Linked DNA regions of Rattus norvegicus. The protein of the gene in region 3 interacts with the protein of the main gene of each other region in a pairwise test. Links are inferred from orthologs where the notes say so. Each region holds a gene or a part of one and is shown on either strand. Other genes may lie near its edges. The genes, in order: Pdlim7, Arrdc1, Wwp2, Ankrd44, Hnrnpul1 and Entrep1.

Region 1 (3,500 bases), on a different chromosome or scaffold from region 3:
GGTCGCAGTGAAATAAAGGTGAGAGGGTGCATGCAGACCCCAAACTTAGCCATGGAATGAGGGGGTGTCTTTTCGGACACTGTCTACCCTTGAGCTGTCAGTCCTTCTGCCTAGCCTGCCAGTGTTGGCATTACAAGTATACCTTGCCTGGCACCCCAGAGTCTTTTTTTTTTTCTTCCCCCGAATTTGATTTAATTAACTAGTTTTATTAGTTTTTGAGGCAGGGTCTCTCTGTGTAGTCTTGGCTGTTCTGGAATTCACTATGCAGACCAGGCTGGCTTCCAACTCACAGAAATCCACCTGCCTCTGCTTCTGCCTCCGCAGTGCTGGGTGTATGCCACCACAGCTAGCTATCCCAGCATCGTGATTGGGTGCGCTTGACCCCTCTCTTGTGCCCTATTGTAGTGGAGCCTCCCAGTCAGGACCAAATCCTGGCTGCACCTCTTGCTGGCTGGGTGACTGGGTTCAGGTGTTTGGCAGGTCTGGTTTTTGGTTTTTTTTTTTTCTGAGCGTGAGCAGGGTGTATCCCTAGATCCCCTGCAAGTGTGTTGGAAGATGTTACGTCAGTCCTAGGTGTTCTGTGAGTTGCTATTCTTACCGTGTGCTAGCAGGTAAAGAGGGCTCTGACTCACCAGCTCTCTCCTCTGCTAACCTCCCCTTCAGGCACAAAATAAAGCTGTCGAGTCCAGCTCCCCCTTCTGTCCTAGAGTTGGCAGTCTCTGCGGGAGGTCCCTCTGTCCCTGGCACCTCTAGAACCTCTCGTCTTCTGTCTGTCTGCTTCAGTACACATTGATTAGCTCACCCGAGGAGCCTCCTGGGCCCTTGGGCGTCCTACGCCCTGCTTCTCCTACTACCTGCTAAGTGTAAATGCTCTGCGTGGTACCAGATGGTCCAGTGGCCCTGCGGTTTCAGACCTGTGGAGAACCACCATGCCCCCAATCCTTTTGGCTTTGAGTTGGGAATTTCTGGTTCGTGTGGCAAATAGGGGAACATAGTAGGCCTGGTGGAATGACGGCCACCAGAACTGGCTGATTGCTGGTAAGCAGTGAGCCTTGGTCACCAAAAGTAAAAAATTAAGATAAAAATAAAGGAATGTGGAGCCCTGCGAGCGAAAGGGTGTGGGGTGGGGATCAGGGGTTGGCCTTGATGTGGGGGTGGGGAGCGGTAGCAGTTCCCAGATAGGAGATGGGACACTTCACAGGATATAGGTGACCCCAATCAACCCTGTTAGGCCTTCATAGCCCAGTTTCAGCAACACAGGTAGGTGGCTGTCTGGGGAGGGCAATCTGGTGGGTCAAACAGCCTCTAGAGAGACCTCAGAAAACACAGCTGTCAAGGCTGTGGTCCTAGCCTGCAGGTATGGGCTCTAGCCTGAAGGTGGCTGTTTATCAGCAGTGTCTGGACCGTGAGGGAGCTTGTGCAGCTTGGGTGTGCACCCCTGGGCCTCTGACCATTCCTTTCCACAGCTCACTCCTGGAGGCAAGGCCGCACAGGCCGGTGTGGCCGTGGGAGACTGGGTACTGAGTATCGACGGTGAGAACGCCGGAAGCCTCACACACATTGAAGCCCAGAACAAGATCCGTGCCTGTGGGGAGCGCCTCAGCCTGGGTCTTAGCAGGTACAGGTGCTGATAGGCCCAAGGGGTGAGCACAGCCTCTGGTCTCACTTACAGGCCATGACCACTTTTCTCTCCTTCTCCAGAGCCCAGCCTGCTCAGAGCAAACCACAGAAGGTAGGTTATACCAGAGATACCCTGGCTGAGAAAGGGAGGGACTTGGATTGGGCTGGCCTGCTCTCCGTGGCCCAGCCTTGGCTAAGAACAGAGGGCAGATGCCAGAACAGGCAGGGTCTGGGGAACGGGAGAGTGGAGCTAGGAGCTGCCGCACGGTCCGGGCTCCTCACGTGCCTGCCTGTCTGTCTGCCTGCTTCTTCCCATAAGCCTGTGCTGTGTGCGCCTACCCGCCCTCGGTCCCCCTGACCCAGAGTGGGTTGAATTCATCACTTCCAAATGGGCCCCTTGAATTCACAGTCACCCCTTCATCTTAGCCTCTGGCCAGATGTGTAAGAGTGGGGCCGGACCTGTCACTGTTCTTGGTGGTGGTGACAACTCCGCTCCCACCTTGGCCCCCACTCCCACCCACCCTGCCCGGCTCTGTCTCTGCCCAGGCCCTGACCCCTCCCGCCGACCCCCCGAGGTACACTTTTGCACCAAGCGCCTCCCTCAACAAGACGGCCCGGCCCTTCGGGGCACCCCCACCTACTGACAGCGCCCTGTCGCAGAATGGGTATGTCAGCCCCTGCCCACTCACTCCTGCCTCTTGTGCACAGGTCTAGTCCTTTCGCAAGCGCACACACAAGCTGCCCGCTACTGCTCAGTCTGTGCCGGACCCCAGCCCCTTAACCGTGTGGCAGCAATCCCTGGCAGCTGGGTGGGGCTTCAGGAAGAGAGCCCTGCCCAAGGCTGATGCTCTTCCACAGGCTCTGCCCTCCTGGGCAGCCTGGGGTTGGGGTGTGGTGTTGGACCTGCCAAGTCTCACACACTCATTGCTACCTTGCCTCCCTGTCCACTGCTCTGATTTCCCCCCACCCGTCTTTCTTCTCCTGTGTCTGTCCCTTTATTTGTCTATCTGTCTATTTCCTTCGCAGGTGCAGACCCCTGACAAGTCAGTGAGCCCCCTCTTCCTGTCACTTTTCTCCCTTTTGGCACTCTGGGTGGTGGCGCCTCCCTGCCCTGCCTGTCCTCCTGCCCACTCTGATTTACCCACCCACCCAGCCAAGCCCTTTGCCTTACCCCCCTTCTTCCCCCACCCCCACCCCGCCTCTCAGCTGTCACCGTAACCCATGCACATCACATCCTGGGAGGGGCAGCCCCTGGTGCCCACAGAACCAGGGGTTCTGAGCTCTACCCTTCCATAGACAGCTGCTCAGACAGCTGGTCCCTGATGCCAGCAAGCAGCGGCTGATGGAGAATACTGAAGACTGGCGCCCGCGGCCAGGGACAGGCCAGTCCCGTTCCTTCCGCATCCTTGCTCACCTCACGGGCACAGAGTTCAGTAAGTGCTGGCCTGGGTCTGGGCGGACTCTCCTGGTCTTAGCCTGGGCCTGACCTTGCCAGGACTCAAGGCTGGGGTAGCCTTCATTTCTCTTGGTCAATGCCTGCCTCTGTCCTCTCAGTGCAAGACCCGGATGAGGAATTCATGAAGAAGTCAAGGTAAAAGCTTGGGCGCTTTCCCTAACCTCCCGATTCTTCCTTTCCGGCCACCAGTCCTTGTCTACTCCTGGCCATCCCCTGCCAGAGCTCTCTTCTGTCCCTTCCTCATTTCCTTCCCTCCTTCCTCCCTTCCGTCTCTCCTTCCTTTCACTTCCTCCTCCTCTCTCTCTCTCTCTGCCCCTCAGGGAAAAGTATGTCCTGGAGCTACAGAGCCCACGCTATACACGTCTCCGGGACTGGCACCACCAGCGCTCTGCCCACGTGCTCAACGTGCAGTCCTAGCCTGGCC
Region 2 (2,279 bases), on a different chromosome or scaffold from region 3:
CTGTTGTCTTTTATTCTTATTCTGGGGCCCAAGATCTTGTGTGTACAACAACGAGAAATAAGGAAAGGCACAGTGCTCAGGGCTGACAGTGACCCCATGCCCAAGAGTAGAGGGTTCTACCAAGGGGCTTCCTGGAACAATAGTTTGGAATGCAAGTCACAGTATGTCCCAAAGAATGCCAGGAATATCCTTAGGCATTCTTTAAAAAGGAAGAGGACAGAAGTGGGCAGTCCAGCACTATCCAGGTTGCATGCCTGGCACTGTAGAAGAGTCCAGAGGCAGGGCACCAATGAAGTGAGGAATGGGCTGGAAGTAGAGTTCAAGGTAGGATCGGGTGGGCCAGGGGAAAAGCCCAAGGATGTGGTAAGGGGATGAGCTCTATCAAATGTAGGGATCGAATGAGGAGCTTTCAGGGTTTCAGTCTTCAGGGCAGAGCTTGTACAATGGGGCCACCTTAAGGCTAGACTGTAGGGTGAGAAGGCCAGCCACTTGCCCAGCTCTACAAATAAAGCGCTTTATTTATACAGTCTCTCCAGGCCCCAGATCTCTGCCGCCCTACCCCAACCTCTCAAGAAGAGGACTGAATAATTCATTCCAGAGGAGCCAAGAGTGGCTGGTCCACAGGGGGGTCTTCCCCCGACAGCTGCAGGTCCTGAGTAGCTGGGCCAGGTAGAGAGCAAAGGCACGAGGCCCTGGGCATCCCATGCCAGGGCAAAGGCCAGAACCACCAAACAAGGTGGCATGGGTTAGCATACCAGGGTCAGCTCCCTGGGATCAGGCCAACATCTGTACCACCAGCACCACAGCTCTGCTCATAGGATGGTGGAGCCTCTGTGGGGAGGAAAAAAAGGATATAGAAGGGGTTCAGGGGACCCTCATTTTTTCACCCCAATCCCTGTCATTTCCACTCACCATAGGGGTAGCCCCATGAACTGTACTCTGGAGGAAGGATCAAGGCGCTGGTGGTAGGTACTGGGCCCCCAGAGCCTTCTGCAAAGTAGGGGACAGTGGCACCTATAGAGATGCACAAGGGAGGGTGCAGAGAATGTCTAGCAGGACTTCCAACCTGAACACACGGCTCAATGGTGGTGACAGACACAGAACCCAATGTAGTAGACAGTGGCTGCTGCTGAGAATGGCTCTTGGTGGAGAGTGAGACAGGGTCTGAGAAGTGAGGGCCACTAGCCACTGCCTCAGCCTCTTCCTGAGGAGGTGCAGAGGGCACCACTGGGGACAGCAGCCCAGGAGAAGACCCTGGGCCTGGACAGGGGCTCAGTGGAGTTTGGTTCACAGCAATATTGCCAACAAATAGTGGGAGAGTCACGGTGGCCTCGGGTGCTTTCATGGAGACCTGAAAAAAACGTAGGTATTGAAGAGTAAGGCCAAGGCCACCTAGCCTTAGGCCACCCAGCCCTGGGCAACACCAAACCTGAAGGTAATAGTCGATGTGGATAAGGCTGCAGCCAGGCAGGGCTGACTGGGGCAGGGCAGGCACCAGGATCTGTTCTTGCCACTGAGCATGCCTCCAGGCCTTGACACCTGTGCCCTCCACCTCTGCAATGGTCCGCACATCATAGATCCAGCGCTTGGCCTTATAGGACACCTTCTGAGGAAAGACTGGGCTGTGAGTTTGGGCAGGCTGGCACCCACCCCTTCTGTCCCATGGGAAAGGGACAGGCTCAGGGAACCAGATGGCTCTGACCTGTAGCAAGCTGGCCACCACAGGGCTGGTGTCCTTGCCCGACTGGTTCTCAATGTCAGCCTGCAGCCGCAGCACCTGTCCTACCACATAGCCACGAAGGTCCGTGCTAGCTGTGAGAACCACACTGCCGGTCTTCACCAGCTTATAGGAGAACTTCTTGGTAGTAGAGGCCACATTGGGTTGCTTGAAGGGAAAGGAAGGGAAGAGTTTATCAAGCGAGCACAGACAAGACCCTCAGACTGCCCTAGACACCAGCAACCAGATTAAGACAGGGCCTGGCTGCCTGGCCTGAGAAGGCCGAAGGCAGCCAAGGAAGCCCCTGTTCCGTCCTTACCTCGATATCTGGGATGCTGTTCAGGTTCAAGGGGCTCAGGATGTAGAACACGAGGCTGCATTTGTGATCCTTGGAAAAACGTGGAGTGTCGATGGACGCCCTCACCTGGTGCACAATCTTCCCAAAGGGGCCCTCGAAAGATGTGGGTGCTGTGGCTGTGGGGATAATAGGGATTGGCTGGCACCCAGCACCTCCCACCAGTGGCATTTCAAAGCTCCATGTCCCCATAAGCTTTCCACTCAC
Region 3 (3,500 bases):
AGTCCTGTATCCTACAGCCCTGGACCAAGCATGCTGAACTCTGCCTTCCTCAAGCTCCATAGATGGTCTCTAAGGGGCAGAGCAACACTCAACCTCTGGTCTGGTTGCCATATCTTCCCTGACTAGAGATGAATCATACATACTTTTGCCGCCATTGTTCTTCAGGACATTGGAGAGGTTGACAGAGGCAGTGCCCAGTAGTTCATTCCTCAAGGTATGACAGCTCCAGACCTTCAAATCTAAATGACTCTGGGCTGTAACATTCCTGGAAAACAAATAAGTGATTCATCACAGCCCCGAGATGAGCCAGGCGCCCTTTAACATGAACAGAATGCTAAAAGCTACCCTGCTGACATCTCACAGGGACAAAACAGGACACAGTCACACACACACCTCACACGCTGACCTGTAACCCTAGCTAACAATGAGAGCTCTGTGAGCTCGATGACACACACACACACCTAAAGAGGAGCACCATGGGGGCCAAGGGCAGTGGAGGGCACTGCCCCAGCCTCCTCTCCCCCACCTCCTGCATTCGAAAAGTGGCAGACACCCTTACAGAACGATGACTTCATTCCAGAGAAGCTCAGAGCTCCCGATGCGCTTCCCAGTCTTCTTGGTCTCACTGGGGAGTCCATCCACTGCCACCTCCACATAGGAGTTGATTCTGGGCTGGCGGTTGTGCACCTTGGGCTTTGCTGACACCACTGGATGAGACAGAAGGAAAGGGCAGATGACTTAAAGGACTCCCATATGCTGCTTGGGCAGATAGTCTGGCTCCTTTTGGTTATTTCCTTTCAAAAGATCTTTTTTGTTGCTGTTTTGCTTTGTCCTCTTTAAAAAAAAAAAAAAAAAAAAAAACCTTTTGAGAAATTACACTGTGAGAGCTCTGTCAGAACAATGTTCGCTGTAAACACTAGACAACCTCATTTTCATCCCCAGAGCCCACATAAAAGGCCAGTGCCTGAGTAATAACACCCAAGATAGACCACTGACCAAAGCATCATGTGCACACAAACACACATGTACAAAACCAATTTTTTAGAACAAGAAGAAAGGGTATAGACCAAACAAGAAACAAAAAGTACGAGTGTACAAAACACCCTGAACTATAAAGCAAGATCACTCCCACCCTAAAAGCACATGAGACAGAAAAGTGCTTTGCCCAATGGCCTGTACCCGTCTCCACAAATCAACTTTTAAACGATTATCACAAAGTCCACTGCATGGCTGTGTTAACTTTTACATTGTTGAGACAACTGCTTACAGTTCTTTGCTCTGGGACAGTTAGCACAAACATGGCTCCTAAGAGCAGCTGAGCCTCCTTTAAGGTTTGAGAGCTCCAGGGTCCTGGAAGCCCTCAGGGACTTCCTGCACTGCTTCTGAGTATCTTCATTTGGCCACACTGCAAAGTAGAGTGCTGTTTCCTCACTTTTTGCAAGCCATTAAAAAAAAATAGCCTAAAGATAATCACTAAGATTCAACCAACAGTTACCACAGACACTGCAAGGCATGCACCATATGCAGCCCCACAACTCATGAAGTGGAGATGTACTGTCTCCCTGACTGTACCCAGGAGGTCACTGAGGCTAGGATGGGGACATATACCTGCAATCCCAGCAGCTGAGGAAGAACACGAGTGCTGCAAGTTCAAAGATGGCCTGGTCTACATGAGGCGTTCCAGGCCAGACAGAGAAACTCTTAAAACTCAAAACAAAAAAGCCAGACAAAGTCACTCATGCCGGTAATCCCACTGACTCGAGAGGTCGAGACAGGAGGCTCACCTTAATTTCAAAAGTCCACCCTGGGCTACAGAGTGAGTTTTAGGTCTGCCTGGGACAGGAGTATGGGGTGTTGGGGGGGAGGAGTGAGGTTCACCTCTCCAGTTATATAAAGAGGGAGCTGTGAACCAGCATGTGTCCCCCAGCCTGACTCCATCCCAGCTGTATACTATTCCCAGGCTTATCCCCTCTGCTGCTTTTCTCCATGGAGCAGTAAGGCTGAACATACTCCACGGTGGTCAGCTACCTGTACTACTTGTTCCGTTTACAGCCCTCATGTGACTCTGTCTCTCTGTCTCTCTGTCTCTCTCTCTTCCTCTCTTTCCCTCGCTCCCTCTCTCCTTTCACTCTCCTTTTTGTTTAGTTTGGTTTCTTTCCTAGTTCTAAGCAGCAGCATCTTGCCGTGCAGCACAGGCTGACTTGAACCTACTACTCAGCCAAAACCGGCTTCTGTGTCCCTGGTACTGAGATTACAGGCAGATAGCACCATTCCTAGCATACAGCAGCACTTGTCATAGTCATGCATCACTAACTGGTAAGAACCCATGGAGCATAAGCCAACAAACATCACCTTCCATGGGATACCTATCCCATGACATTCATGACAAACAGTGGGACTTCCAGGGCTATTAGAGGGAACACATCTAGATACTGTCCACCCTGTGCCCAAATCAGAGGATAGAACTGATGTTTCTCATACACACCACCCCCGATAACAAGACTAACCACCCCATCTGGGAAGTTAGGCTCCTTCCCAGATCCTTTAGGGAGGTGGCAAGTCCTACAAAGGTCTACAACTTGACAAAGGACATCACCCGCTGGGTTCTTTGAAGCAGTAGTTACTCCAAAACCCAAATGCTACAGTAGGGAAGAAATCAAGAAACAAAAGAAAAAAATTGGGGGGCTAAGAGTCAAGCAACAGGGATGGGGCTGAGAATAAAGGTTTGTCACAGACATTAGACTTAAGTGGAAAATGTACCACTTTGCATGTACAGCAAGGCTAGCTGACGCCATCTAGTGATGAGATAGGAGCACTGCACACCTTACCTTAAACAGGACCATGTTTTAATCCGCCCTAAACAATTTCCTTAGAAATCAACAAGTCCCTGCCAGGCCTGGCAGCATACACCTTTAGTTTTGGAACGCAGGAGACAGAGCACTGTGGATTTCTGTGAGTTCAAAGTCAGTCTGGTCTACACAGTGAGTTTCTGGCTAGCTCAGCAGGACTACATAGTGAGACCCTGTCTCAAAAAAGGGGTCTGGAGAGATGGCTCAGTGGTTATGAGCACTTATCGCTCTTGTGGGAGACCTGAATCCAACACCCACAAAGCAGCTCACAAGCATCTGGAGTTCCAGTTTCAGGGACTGATGCTCTTCCAGTCTCCACAGGTACCATGCATGCATGTAGCAAACATATGTGTAATAAGCATACACATATGCAGGAACACACGCATACCTAAAAAATCTAGGGGAGAAATTGAAATTCCAAGTCTGTATTTCACAGCTGGGTCATCTAAGTTTCAGGGAGCTGAATTAGCTTCTCTGAAATCAGCGTCAGTAAACGGCAGGTCTGAGGCAGGAACCAGCACTCACTCCCCCCAGTCAATTCTCTCAGCGCTATCAGGACAGGCCTTTCATTTTGTTCTGATTTGGGTTTAGTTTGGGTGTCTGTACTCTAGCTTTTTCCCTGGTTTGGTTTGGTTTGGTTGGTTTGTTGGT
Region 4 (4,081 bases), on a different chromosome or scaffold from region 3:
GCTAAGTGTCAAGCTTGTTCGCAGCACAAGCTCCCAGTTCCTTTTCACAGTAGAAGACTGAAAACCACAGCAGCCTCTCCCTTCCCCCTTAACTTTTTAATTCTCCCAAAACAAGTTAGAAAAAAAAAATCGTAACCCTTCTCTTGCTGGACCCAGAGGTCACTGTTGAACTGGCTGCCAAAGTGATATAACCACAGCCACCCAGCCAGTTCCAGCCTTCAGTGTCAGGGGACAGAAAAAGTCATTGATGATAACCTCTCGCTTCGACTACATCCAAGTTATCAGCAGCCGGAATGTGTCCTCAAACCAAAAATCAAAGAGCTGTAGCCAAAAGTGGAGATTCGCCTTACAAAATGGACATTGAAGGGACCAGAAGAGTGAGGCCGGGATGGCCACAGCATCCCTGAGGAAGGAGCAGGTGGCCCCAGCTCAGACTGAAGCAGGCAATTCCATGCAGGTGGCTCCCCGCCCACAGTGATGGGACAAAGCTCTTCTAGGAGGAGTTTAATCCACAGGTTGTTAGCATGAGTACCTGAGGTTAAGAGCCAACTTCTAAGAAGTAAGATTCAAACACAAAGTAAGACTATATAAGGCAAGAAGAGTACACTTCCTGGGCCTAAAGAAACACAGAAACCATCTCTGCTCACCACTGCACCTCACCCCGCCCTACCACCACCACACCCCATCTTCCTCTGGCTTTGTCCCAGGATAGACTGGTGGTTTTTGGGTGTTCCTGGATCACAGAACTCCTTGGCTCTTTCTATATGTCAGGAGATGGAGTCAAATGAAGGTTTTAACCCCTTTCTCCCCAGGGGCAAGTGGAGTTTACTGGGGGAACAAAGTGGGTGTAACTTAGAAAGATTCCCAACGACAAACATCTTTGAAAAAGCCTTGCTCTGAGAAGCCAGAGAATAATTTCCTGGGCTGCAGAGCCCAGTGGTACACTCCTCACCCAGGCTGATGTACCTGAGGAGAAAGCTCCTTCTCATACCCTACTTTAACACATCTGCTGAAAGGAAGGAGAGACATATCTCAAGGCTCCGATAGCGGCCTGGGAGGTGGACACCACCAGTCAACACTGAGGATCTTGAGGAAGATTTGCTTGATTTTCCCAGTCAGCTGATTTTTTTTACTTAGAAAATAAGGAATTCAGGGTAAATGATTAGCATCTTTCTAAGTAAAATTCTACACAGAATTCTTTCATATGTAATAACATAGCAATGCCTACTAGAACCACACTGTACTCTGCAGACTTAGGAATTAACAAAGTAGAGAAATGTGTACCATCAACGTTGACAGGACTCTGGACACAAGACAACGTAAGACTTAAAATAAGCAGATGTCTAACAGTTGGCAAAAATTGGGAACAAAGGGTAGAGAAAATCCTAATATCAATTTACAAGCATTTTAAATGCTCAGTGGCCAACGAGGAGGGGCAGGGTCACACAATTAACAGCTGCTCTCCCTGCTAAATTTAACAGAGTTTTAAACTCAGTGATTTCTGAACCAAGGCAGGGAAGGGAAGAAAGGGGGGCTGTGAATACTTAAGGTAAAAGCAAGCTGAACTAAATTTAATCTAAAGGGGCAAAACAAACCATTGTGGCTCACTATTGCAAAGGTTGCACTTAAGTTGCAAAACATTCTGGCTGAATTCTAACTAGCAAGACACCAGATGCATCCTATTAAGAAGTTTGAGGTGTTTGATAGAGGGGGCTGGACTGTTTGATACCATATATCAAAGTCAAGATCGCCACGCTGCTTATCAGGCCCCCAAAACAATGTTCATGTCAGTGTGGATGAATAAATCGGGACATGAATAAAGCTTCGTCTTTCCCCCTTGTAAAGAGCTGTGAAGAGGTTTGGTTTGGTTTTGTTTCACACAATTAAGTTGAACTTCCGTGAGTGTCAATATCTAGATATGTGGTAAAGACTGTCAATCAGATTCAATACATAATCCCATTCCTTCAAGCCAAACTCCAGGCTGCCCGGTGTGATGTCTCAGTCAGAAAAGCAACAAAGCTCATGGGCACCAGCGTCTACGAGCTCAGTCCGGGACCTGACTCCCATCTCCTACTCGGAGACCTGGGCCGAGAACGCGCGTCTCTCAGCACCCCCAATCCCACACCCCACACCCAGCCCCTGGGCAACTAAAGAGGAAGTCGGGGTGTTCTATCCAACCGATGAAGGCAGGCTTTTGCACCGGAGCGGGGATCGGCCAGCCTCTAGCCTGGCGCGGGAGAGGTCCGGGGCAGAGGGGCTGCGATCCTCTCTCCCGCCGTCCACCTTCCTCCCCCTGACCTCAGGGAGCCTTCCCCCGAGGACCCCCAAGCTGACTGCTCCTGAGTGCACGACACAGCCCGAGTCTCCCCTTTCCCGGTGCGGCGGCGACCCGCGCCCGGCGGCCACTCCCGCACCCCGCCGACCCTCTCCGGCCGCGAACGCGCACTTGCGACGGTCCAGGGCGGAGACTGCGCGGGAGCCAAGCCCCGAGGCAGGCCGTGCACGCTCAAAGGCTGCGCGTAAACAGCCCGGGGCGCGCACCGCTCGCTCGGCGCCCGCCGCGCCCCCTTCTCCGCGCCCCGCGCCCCTACCTGATCGCAGAGTTTGAGCACTGCCATTCTTCCGTTCCCGCGCGCGCGCACATACAGCTCTCCGCTTCGTAGATGTCAACGCCGGGAGCCCGGAGAAACGGAAGGGACGGCCCGGGGAAGCGCCAGGAGCTGGGCTCGCGAAGGTGACAGCCCTGCCACCGCTCGGCCGCTGCCGCCTGCCTCCCAGAGCCCAGCCCCGGCTCGCGGGAGTCGCAGCCCGGCCCGCCCGCCTTTATACAGGAAGTGCCGGCCGCTGCCAGCCGGGCCGCCACTGACATCACCGCGCGCTGCCTCGCGCCGCCCGGGCCGACGCTGCCTCCTGCCGCCCGCGGCGGCTCCTCGCAGCCCGCGGCCCCGGCGCCCTCCCGCACCTGCACCCCGCTCCGCCAGGAGCCAGCCGAAAGGGGAGGGGGGGCTGACGCCGACTCTCCCCAGCAATCCCACCCGCGCGCACGCCACTGACCGGCAAGCCCTCGCAGACACACCCCAGGGGTCCAGAAAGCTTGCCACTCACACGCCGCCAACTTTCACCTTGCAGACTGCGTCACACCCCCTTTCCCTAAACCTCTTCCCAAATCAGATTGCTCCAGAGCTCCGAATTTCTGCCACCTGGGCGCAGGGCTGACAATCTCTTTGTTTAATATAAGGAGGCCTTGGACGCGTCGTGACTCCAGGGCTTCCACCACATAGCAGTGGAAGGAACCAGGGCTTTGATCCACCTCCTAGTTAAACCACACACTATCCTAACTTGGTAGCCTAGGCTTGGGGTTGGAGATGGAACTGAGAAGGAAAAAAAAAAAAAAAGTCCTAAATTACCGCACTAAATAAGTCCTAGCTGGTTTATTCCTACACGATTGTAAATTGCATGCTGCCCACTCGCACCTTCCACACACAGAAGACAGCTGTCTAACAGACCAGGCTTCTAATACAGCGGTAGCAACCCATAGTAAGTGCTGATATTTCTGTGATCTGGGAAAGCACTTATAAATTCAGGCAGTGGCTGGGCATGGAGAGATGGGGCATAAGCGGGTAAGATACTGTGCTGGTTAGCTTTTACCGCTGCTTGAAACAGGCTACAGTCATGAGAAGAGGGAACCTTAGTTGTTTTTTTGTTTTTTGTTTTTTTTTTTTTAAACGCTCCCACCAGATTGACCTGTGGGCAAGCTGAGGGGGCATTTTCTTAATTAAGGATTAATGTGGGTGGGCTCAGCTCACTGTGAGCTGTGTCACCCTGTAATAGAGCAGGCTGAGCAGGCCATGAGCACCAAGCGGGTAAGTAGCACATCCCCCTGGCATGTGCTTCAGTGCCTGCTTCCAGGTTCCTGCCTTGAGTTCCTGCCCTGGTTTCCTTTAGGGATGAACTGTGCTGTGGAAGTGGAGGCAGAAAAAACAAACAAACAACTCTTGCTCAAGTTGTTTTTTGGTCACGTTTTTGTCACAATAGAAACCCTAAGTAAGACAGGTGCCTACTCTCAAAGGACACTCAGATA
Region 5 (3,500 bases), on a different chromosome or scaffold from region 3:
TGTTTGCTGGTACAGAGAGAGTAATAGCAAAGGACATAGTCGCTATTTTTGCCACTTGCCGGGGTTACTCGGACGACTTTATGGCCCTGATGTGGACCCGCTTCCCCACAAGAATTCTCATGGACTATATATGTAATATTCCTACATTAACTTCTGGTTGTAATTGGGTGTGAGCATATGCATGTGTACATTAGTTCCTTTCCACTTTCTTTTTTTTAAGACGGGTTTCACTGCGGAGTCTAGGTTGGCCTCAAACTAAGAGATTCCCCTGCCTCCGTTTCCCAACTACTAGAATTAAAAGCATATGCCAACATACTGGCAGTCCACCTTACTTTTCTGAGACAGTCAGTCTCCCATTGAACCTAGAGCTCATCACTGGCAAAGCTAGCTGGTCAGCAAGCTCTAGAGGTCTTGCTGTCTCCTCCTTGGCTCCTATAGGTTACCAGGGCCTGCCATCGCACCTGCTGCCCACCTGGGGCCTGGCTCTGCAAACTTGGGTCCTCAAGCTTCGTAGATAGCACTTTACTTGCTAACTCATCAGCTCTGTATTTTCAAATGCTGATGACTAGCTAACCCTAGGATTTACTCTAAGAAGTTGAAGTTGACGGTATATTGGCTTTTATCCTGTGTCAGCTAGATCGTTTCCACTTTGTTTAAAGATTTCGAAGGAGTTTTTTTTGCTTTTAGCTTATTAAAAGTTTATTTTTTAAGATTTATTTGTCTTTTATGTATATAATGTATATAAGTCATCTCATGTGAATGAATATGTGGACTTAACGTCCCCTGGAGGCCAGAAGAGAATCACCTGGAACTGGAGTCACAAGAGTTTGTAAGGTGCTGTGTGGTTACTGGGAACTGAACCTGTGTTCTGCAAGAAAAGCAAGTCCTCATAACCACTGAGTCATCTTTCTGGGCCCAGATTTATTTTATTTCATGTTTATGTGTGGTGTTTGGCCTTCATGTGTGTACATCCTGTGCATACATGTAGTACCTATGGAGGCCAGAACAGGACGTTGGATCCTCTGGAACTGGAGTTTGCAGCTAACATGGAAGTAAAGGGAATTGAACGCAGGTCAGTGTAGGTCACCCAGGTCCTCTTTTCTTTCTTTTCCTCTTTTTCTTCTTCTTCTTGAGACAGGGTCTCCCTACATAGACCTGGGTAGCCTAGAGCTAATATGTACACCGGTATGCCTCGGATTCACAGAGATCTATCAGCCTCTGCCTTGATTTCAAACTCGCTTTGTAGCTGAAGATGACCTTGATTTCCTGATCCTCTCCCTCTCGAGTACTGGGGTTGCAGGTGTGAGCCACTATACCAGCAGGGAGCTCTGTTGAAAAGGTCACACACACTCGTGGTTGTGAACATGTGCTTTCCTGTGCATCCTTCTCTCCTTAACATTCATACTTAAACCTGTAGTCAAACTTGTTGAACAAAATCTAGCTCTGGTTTAAAGAAAGATTCCACATACGGTTCCTTTTTGTCAGAGCTTGTCATTACTTTAAAGCGGGTTCACAGCAGGGGTTTGAGGGGTATAAAGATCAGTATCTGGGGAAACAGAACATATTTGTAAGATCTCAAGTCCTCAACTGACGAAGAGAAAGGACCGAGTGGCAAGCAGGTGGTCCATGTCAACACTAAGAAGTAGAGTCACTGCAGCCTAGAGGACAGCAGAGAGGGCTGCCCAAAGTCCTGCCTCAGACAGATGGCTGTGTGGGTACACTGATTAGCAGTGGGTGCTGCTTTCTTTATATTGGGGTGGTTCTTCTAATAAAGCTGGTGCCCAGGGCAGGTGACCCCCAAAGTAGTCATTTCCATGCCAGAACAATGGTGCTACTTGTCCCCGTGTGGGAAGACAACAGCAGATACTGTACTATGTGCAGAAGTCTGCTGGAGTTATGTTGGCCTGTCTGCTGAGCATGGTCATTACCGTGATGTGTAAGGTGGCAACTGGCATGAAGGATGCTGATAGAAGACTGGGGAGCACCTCAGAAAAGGCACCTCAAGCACTCCTTGCATACATATACATATATATATTTTTTTCCCCTCATTCTATAACTTTGTGTCAGAAACTAGAACTTGTGCTCTGTTGAAGCTGCTGCCTCATCCTGAGTTTTGAAGCTTTGGCAGGCTCTGCTCCTGACTTGACAAGTCAGTGTTCTGCTTCATTGCCAGCAATGGTTCTAAACTTTAGCAGAACTTGGAGAGCCTTTTATACCCTAAGGTGAAGCCATGGCTCCTCCCCCATCATGCCAGCCCCAGCCCCAGCCCCAGCCCTCTACATTTTGGTTTTTTGAGACAGGTTTTCTTTGTGTAGCCCTGACTATCCTGGAACTATCTGTAGACCAGGCTGGCCTCAAACTCACAGAGATCCTCCTACCTCTGCCTCCCAAATGCTGAGATTACAGGTGTGCAACACTACCATCTGGCCATAGAGAAACAAGATCAATTAATTAGCTTTAGGTCATAAAATAGGATCCACTATAACTGGAGAAACTCAGTAAACAAATGAATGAGCCCTTGCGAGCATGTCCGAGATGCCTTTTGTGTGTCAAGGCACCTGACCTGTATTCTCTTATCTCAAGGTTTGTGTGTGCGCATGACTCATTTCCATTCATTGGTCAGGACCTAACTTACACATTCCCTCCAGGAAATGCAGGGGTATTTTTACTGAATTACAGTATTGAGATTCCTTGTTTGATTCTCCATTGACCATGAATCCCATGGGATCCACATAGACATGTACTGGGATGCACTCGTGTGAGCACTCTAGGAATGTGTGTAGAATAAACAAGGGGCGCACTTGTTCCCACCCTCTGGGAGCACTGCACTCAGCTATGGGAAGCTCCTGCTCTGGCTTCTCTATCTCGGTGTCTCCTCCCTGTCAGTTTGGGGACCAGGCGAGTCTGCCTGTGTCTTCATTGCGAGTCTGCCTGTGTCTTCATCTTTGTCTCAGCTTAAGCACAAGACTCAGATATGTGTCACCAGCTTTCAGATCTTGAGTAAGAAAGAATTTGGGTAAAATGTCTCTGAGCTTTTCCTGGTGCTGTCTAACTTGTGTGTATACCAAGAGAGAATGCCCTGGGTTCCAGAAAAAATGACCATTTTACTCCCTGAATTAAGTCTCACACGTGTGGCTCTTGTTGCCTTTGATTAAGGTTACAGTTAGTGTTTCTTAAGGTTTCATGTATCCTGACCTGGTCTGAAGTTTATGTTCCTCTGCCTCAGCCTTCCAGATACTGAGATGATGGGTGTCCACCATGACAGCAGCTCACCCTTGGCTTTCTCTCCTAGGACTTCGAATGTGGGAATGATGTGGAGCTTTCTTTTACCAAGAATGGCAAGTGGATGGGCATTGCCTTCCGAATCCAGAAAGAAGCTTTAGGGGGTCAGGCCCTCTACCCTCACGTCCTGGTGAAGAATTGTGCTGTGGAATTTAACTTTGGGCAGAGAGCAGAGCCCTACTGTTCTATTCTCCCAGGGTTCACATTCATCCAGCACC
Region 6 (3,500 bases), on a different chromosome or scaffold from region 3:
AGAGGCAGAGGAGTGCTGAGTCCCTTGCCCAGGGCATCACTATCCCCAGCTCTCCTTGCCTGTCTGCTCTCTGACATTCCCAACCCATCAGCTCTCTTTGGAAGGCACTGGATTTCCAAGGATGAAAAGGTCAGGACAGTGAGCTCTCATCTCAGATGCTAAACTACCACAAAAACCTCTTCTAGAAGGAAACCCTGAAATTAAAGATGGCATTTTACACAACACGATCACAAAATGAATGATTCCTGTGGTGTCATTATGCCATTAGGATGTCCACTGATGCTGCATTTTGATGGACACCACCTTGGGTAAGCCCCTTGTTATCATGCATCACTTAGGCAAATAAGAGCTTATGGAGACCATGGTGGTTTGACTAGGAACGCCTGCCTGCTGTAGGCTTGTATGTCTGAATGCTTAGTTATCAGGAGTGGAACTACTTGGGAGGGATTAGGAGGTGTTACCTTGTTGGAGTGGGTGTGTCACTAGGGGTGGGCTTTAAGGTTTCAAGGCCCAGTAGCTCTCTCTCTTCCTGACACTTGGCAGATTCAGATGTAGAACTCTCAGCTACTTCTCCAGGGCCTGTCTACCTGTCACCATGTCTCCCACCACGATGACAGTGTACTGAACTATAAGCCAGCCTCGATTAAATGCTTTCCTTTATAAGAGTTGCCATGGTCATGGTGTCTCTTTGCATCAATAGAACTCTGACTAAGACAGAAATGAACAGGATTGTTATTTGTCTGCAAGTTATTTTCTCTGGGATCCTTTATGACTTGGCCCTGGTAATGGAGAAGTATCCGCTTGGGAGGTTTAAAGCCCAGAGACAGCCCACAGAGAGCATGTGCTTTACTAACAACCCTCTTCAGCATCCGCCACCCTCCTCTCAGCTTCTGAAAGGATCCGAATCACTCCATCCTTACCCCTGAGGCTCTACAATGTCAGCAGGCCCCTCCCCAAACAAAGAAAAGCCTTGCTGTCCCAAGATAATGTGTTCACCTGGCTGACACCCCCTCCCTTGGCTTTATAGCCATGTCTGCCTCTGCCCGGGTAGGTGTTACAGGAGGGGTCAGGTAAGATTCAAAAAAACATGAGCAAAGCCTACGTGGATCCTATTTCAAAAGCATGCATAGCTGTCCCGAACACCAGAAAGTATTTTTCCAAGAGCCCCACATCTGTACCACATCTGTCTGATGATTCTGCATGTACTACAGAAGTCCAAAACTACACATGCTCGATCCCAGATATCAAGCTAAAGATGCTAATCTTCCCTTAGACCCCAGAGATTTTTTCCTTTGGGGGTTTAACCTTTAAACTCAGCATAAAGTCACTTCTCTAAGGATGCCAAAGCTGACTGGGTGACCTAGTTGGCTCTTCTGGGCTTGGGAGACCTCTGGACATTGAGTACTATGGTCCTAACACTCATGTTGGCGGTCTACACTGAGCTCCTGATTGGAACAGAGGAAGCAGGACTAACTCACTTTGGATTTCTGTAACCCAGCACAGCACCAAGCAAGCAGAAGAAGATTGGTAATGTTTGCTGGAGGAATAAATGAGATCACTCTTTAAAGATTCAATTCTAGGTATTACTAACAACCGGATGAATACATACTCCACCCTACAAACAATAATTTCTGAAACTTAAGGAAAATAGTCAAAATTCGAGCTGGAATTTGAAAAGGAAAATTAAGTACGGTGCCCATTTTCCCCCCTAAGCCAGAAAGAATCAATTAGTAATTAATTTTGTCTTGGTGACTGCAAAGAATGTCTCGACTGTTGGGACCTGCTCATGGCGTTATAATGAAACACTGATTCTGCCTAACTGTGGGTGTTTCCAGGACAACAGAAACTCCCAATACTGTCAAATTACAGCTGTTATCTCACTGGGTGTCAGTTTTCCCCGAGGAAGCTAAAAGAAATTGAAAAGGTTTATCTCTAGGTCCGGGTTGGACTGATCTTTGGAGTCATCTGGTTGATCAGAGAGAAACAAGAAGACAGGGAAAGAGAGCTAACTGGATAGGACAATCTTCCCGGAATTTGGAGGAAAAAAAAAGTGGAGACCACACAAGTGTCAAGGCAGGGCATACCATGGAGACCCCAGTGAGACTTAGGAGTTTTACCTGCGGTTCATCCGAGGTGTGCAGGAGTAAAACGTGGCAAAGTAAGAAGGAGGAGGCACTGGCGGCACAAAGTCATCTGGGTCCGGAATCCGCCCGGGCTCTTCCACTTCCTCTGCAGAGATCTGGGATTCGTCCTGATTAAACAGCACAGCAGGAGGAAAGCAATAGATCACAAGGGAGGCACGGACAGCAAGGTGGAAACTCCGCACAGTGCTTCCACACACAGTAGGGATGGACTGCGAGGTCAAAACGCTTCACAAGTGTTTCCTCACACTTACAATGCACGGCCTTCTGCTGGCGAAGATCTGGAGGTAGCGCAGGGCAGCAGCCACCAAACACACCGTGGTGGTCAGGGCATTCAAGGCACACAGGGCAAACAGGACTTTCTGGAAACGAGACCACTGATCAGAGAGATGTGTAAAACACATCGATGGCAATGCTGTCCAAACTGGCAAGCTTCCGAGTGGATAAGGGCAGGGGGTTACATAGCGTCTGGCTTATGGACGTGCGGAAATACATGCTGGCTATTATAACCCCCAACCAGAATGTAGATTTCTTACTCTAAAACCTTTATAATTCCAGCTACTTTGAAGACTGAGGCGGGAGGATCATAAATTCAAACCTGGGATGGTAATACAGTCAAACTTCCTAAACAAAAACAAAAACAGCCTAGACTAGATGTCATGTGACACACCTATAACCCTAGCACCCTGAGGGCTGGAGGCGGGAGCACCTGAGTTCCATCAGAGCCAAACTCAGATTCAAAAAACACATACCCAGCCAGCTCCCTGCCTCACAGAGGAGAGGCCCAGTGTTACATACAGGGCAGTCAGACCTCCATATCCACGGGTTCACCTTCTCAGAGTCAACCAAGCCAAAATGGAAAACACTCAAAAGAAAAACCCAAGACTGCTGAGCACGGGCTGGTCCTTTTCCTATCATTTTTCTTTCTTAAATGATATTAACAACTACTTGCAAAGTGCATTGCACCAGGTACTGCATCTACATTGGCTCAACCATAGAGGAGTGTGTGAAGGTTTTGTGCAATCCTATGTCGTCATGTGGAAGGGGCTTGGGTGTGACAGAGTTCAGTATCCTCAGGGATGCTAGAGCCAATTTCCCAAGGACACAGAGGCACTTTCTTCTTACAACATCTGAACACTATCTATAGAGTTCCCTCCAGAAGACCAGTGAGACTCTTCTCTAGTCAGTGCCCCCTCAAGGGACAGCACTTCCCCGCACGATGGCATCTGCTTAACATATGGCCACTGCTTCTGTTTCGGGAGCCACAGGCAGTAGTGTGGAACCAGGAGCAACCAGGGAATAAATAGGTCTTCTTTCCTCAAAATAGCAGTTAAGTCAACACTGAAGGTTGCCATGGAC

Evidence for each region.
Region 1: the proteins of Wwp2 (region 3) and Pdlim7 interact in binary tests that used the Homo sapiens proteins (3 or more experiments, as listed by UniProt). The link is inferred for Rattus norvegicus from reciprocal best matches to the Homo sapiens genes WWP2 and PDLIM7.
Region 2: the proteins of Wwp2 (region 3) and Arrdc1 interact in binary tests that used the Homo sapiens proteins (3 or more experiments, as listed by UniProt). The link is inferred for Rattus norvegicus from reciprocal best matches to the Homo sapiens genes WWP2 and ARRDC1.
Region 4: the proteins of Wwp2 (region 3) and Ankrd44 interact in binary tests that used the Homo sapiens proteins (3 or more experiments, as listed by UniProt). The two-hybrid records come from large-scale screens. The link is inferred for Rattus norvegicus from reciprocal best matches to the Homo sapiens genes WWP2 and ANKRD44.
Region 5: the proteins of Wwp2 (region 3) and Hnrnpul1 interact in binary tests that used the Homo sapiens proteins (3 or more experiments, as listed by UniProt). The link is inferred for Rattus norvegicus from reciprocal best matches to the Homo sapiens genes WWP2 and HNRNPUL1.
Region 6: the proteins of Wwp2 (region 3) and Entrep1 interact in binary tests that used the Homo sapiens proteins (3 or more experiments, as listed by UniProt). The link is inferred for Rattus norvegicus from reciprocal best matches to the Homo sapiens genes WWP2 and ENTREP1.

The regions. Positions count from the first base shown.
Region 1 is NC_086035.1:9,132,808-9,136,307, forward strand, and holds part of Pdlim7 (PDZ and LIM domain protein 7), read left to right. Parts: intron 1-1,466; coding exon 1,467-1,618; intron 1,619-1,701; coding exon 1,702-1,732; intron 1,733-2,166; coding exon 2,167-2,285; intron 2,286-2,646; coding exon of another isoform or gene 2,647-2,667; intron 2,668-2,916; coding exon 2,917-3,053; intron 3,054-3,174; coding exon 3,175-3,211; intron 3,212-3,396; coding exon of another isoform or gene 3,397-3,493; exon of another isoform or gene 3,494-3,500. UniProt on the Homo sapiens protein: May function as a scaffold on which the coordinated assembly of proteins can occur. May play a role as an adapter that, via its PDZ domain, localizes LIM-binding proteins to actin filaments of both skeletal muscle and nonmuscle tissues.
Region 2 is NC_086021.1:28,132,690-28,134,968, forward strand, and holds the end of Arrdc1 (arrestin domain-containing protein 1), read right to left. Parts: intron 2,192-2,279; coding exon 2,037-2,191; intron 1,886-2,036; coding exon 1,703-1,885; intron 1,607-1,702; coding exon 1,430-1,606; coding exon of another isoform or gene 1,352-1,429; coding exon 913-1,351; intron 832-912; coding exon 761-831; 3' UTR 501-760; downstream 1-500. UniProt on the Homo sapiens protein: Functions as an adapter recruiting ubiquitin-protein ligases to their specific substrates. Through an ubiquitination-dependent mechanism plays for instance a role in the incorporation of SLC11A2 into extracellular vesicles.
Region 3 is NC_086037.1:52,273,563-52,277,062, reverse strand, and holds part of Wwp2 (NEDD4-like E3 ubiquitin-protein ligase WWP2), read right to left. Parts: intron 708-3,500; coding exon 560-707; intron 266-559; coding exon 144-265; intron 1-143. UniProt on the Homo sapiens protein: E3 ubiquitin-protein ligase which accepts ubiquitin from an E2 ubiquitin-conjugating enzyme in the form of a thioester and then directly transfers the ubiquitin to targeted substrates.
Region 4 is NC_086027.1:63,919,141-63,923,221, forward strand, and holds the start of Ankrd44 (serine/threonine-protein phosphatase 6 regulatory ankyrin repeat subunit B), read right to left. Parts: upstream 2,801-4,081; 5' UTR 2,619-2,800; coding exon 2,592-2,618; intron 1-2,591. UniProt on the Homo sapiens protein: Putative regulatory subunit of protein phosphatase 6 (PP6) that may be involved in the recognition of phosphoprotein substrates.
Region 5 is NC_086019.1:90,369,871-90,373,370, reverse strand, and holds part of Hnrnpul1 (heterogeneous nuclear ribonucleoprotein U-like protein 1), read left to right. Parts: intron 1-3,292; coding exon 3,293-3,500.
Region 6 is NC_086019.1:231,027,811-231,031,310, forward strand, and holds part of Entrep1 (endosomal transmembrane epsin interactor 1), read right to left. Parts: intron 2,504-3,500; coding exon 2,396-2,503; intron 2,252-2,395; coding exon 2,118-2,251; intron 1-2,117. UniProt on the Homo sapiens protein: Functions as an activator of the E3 ubiquitin protein ligase ITCH in the ubiquitination of the CXCL12-activated CXCR4 receptor. Thereby, triggers CXCR4 endocytosis and desensitization, negatively regulating the CXCL12/CXCR4 signaling pathway.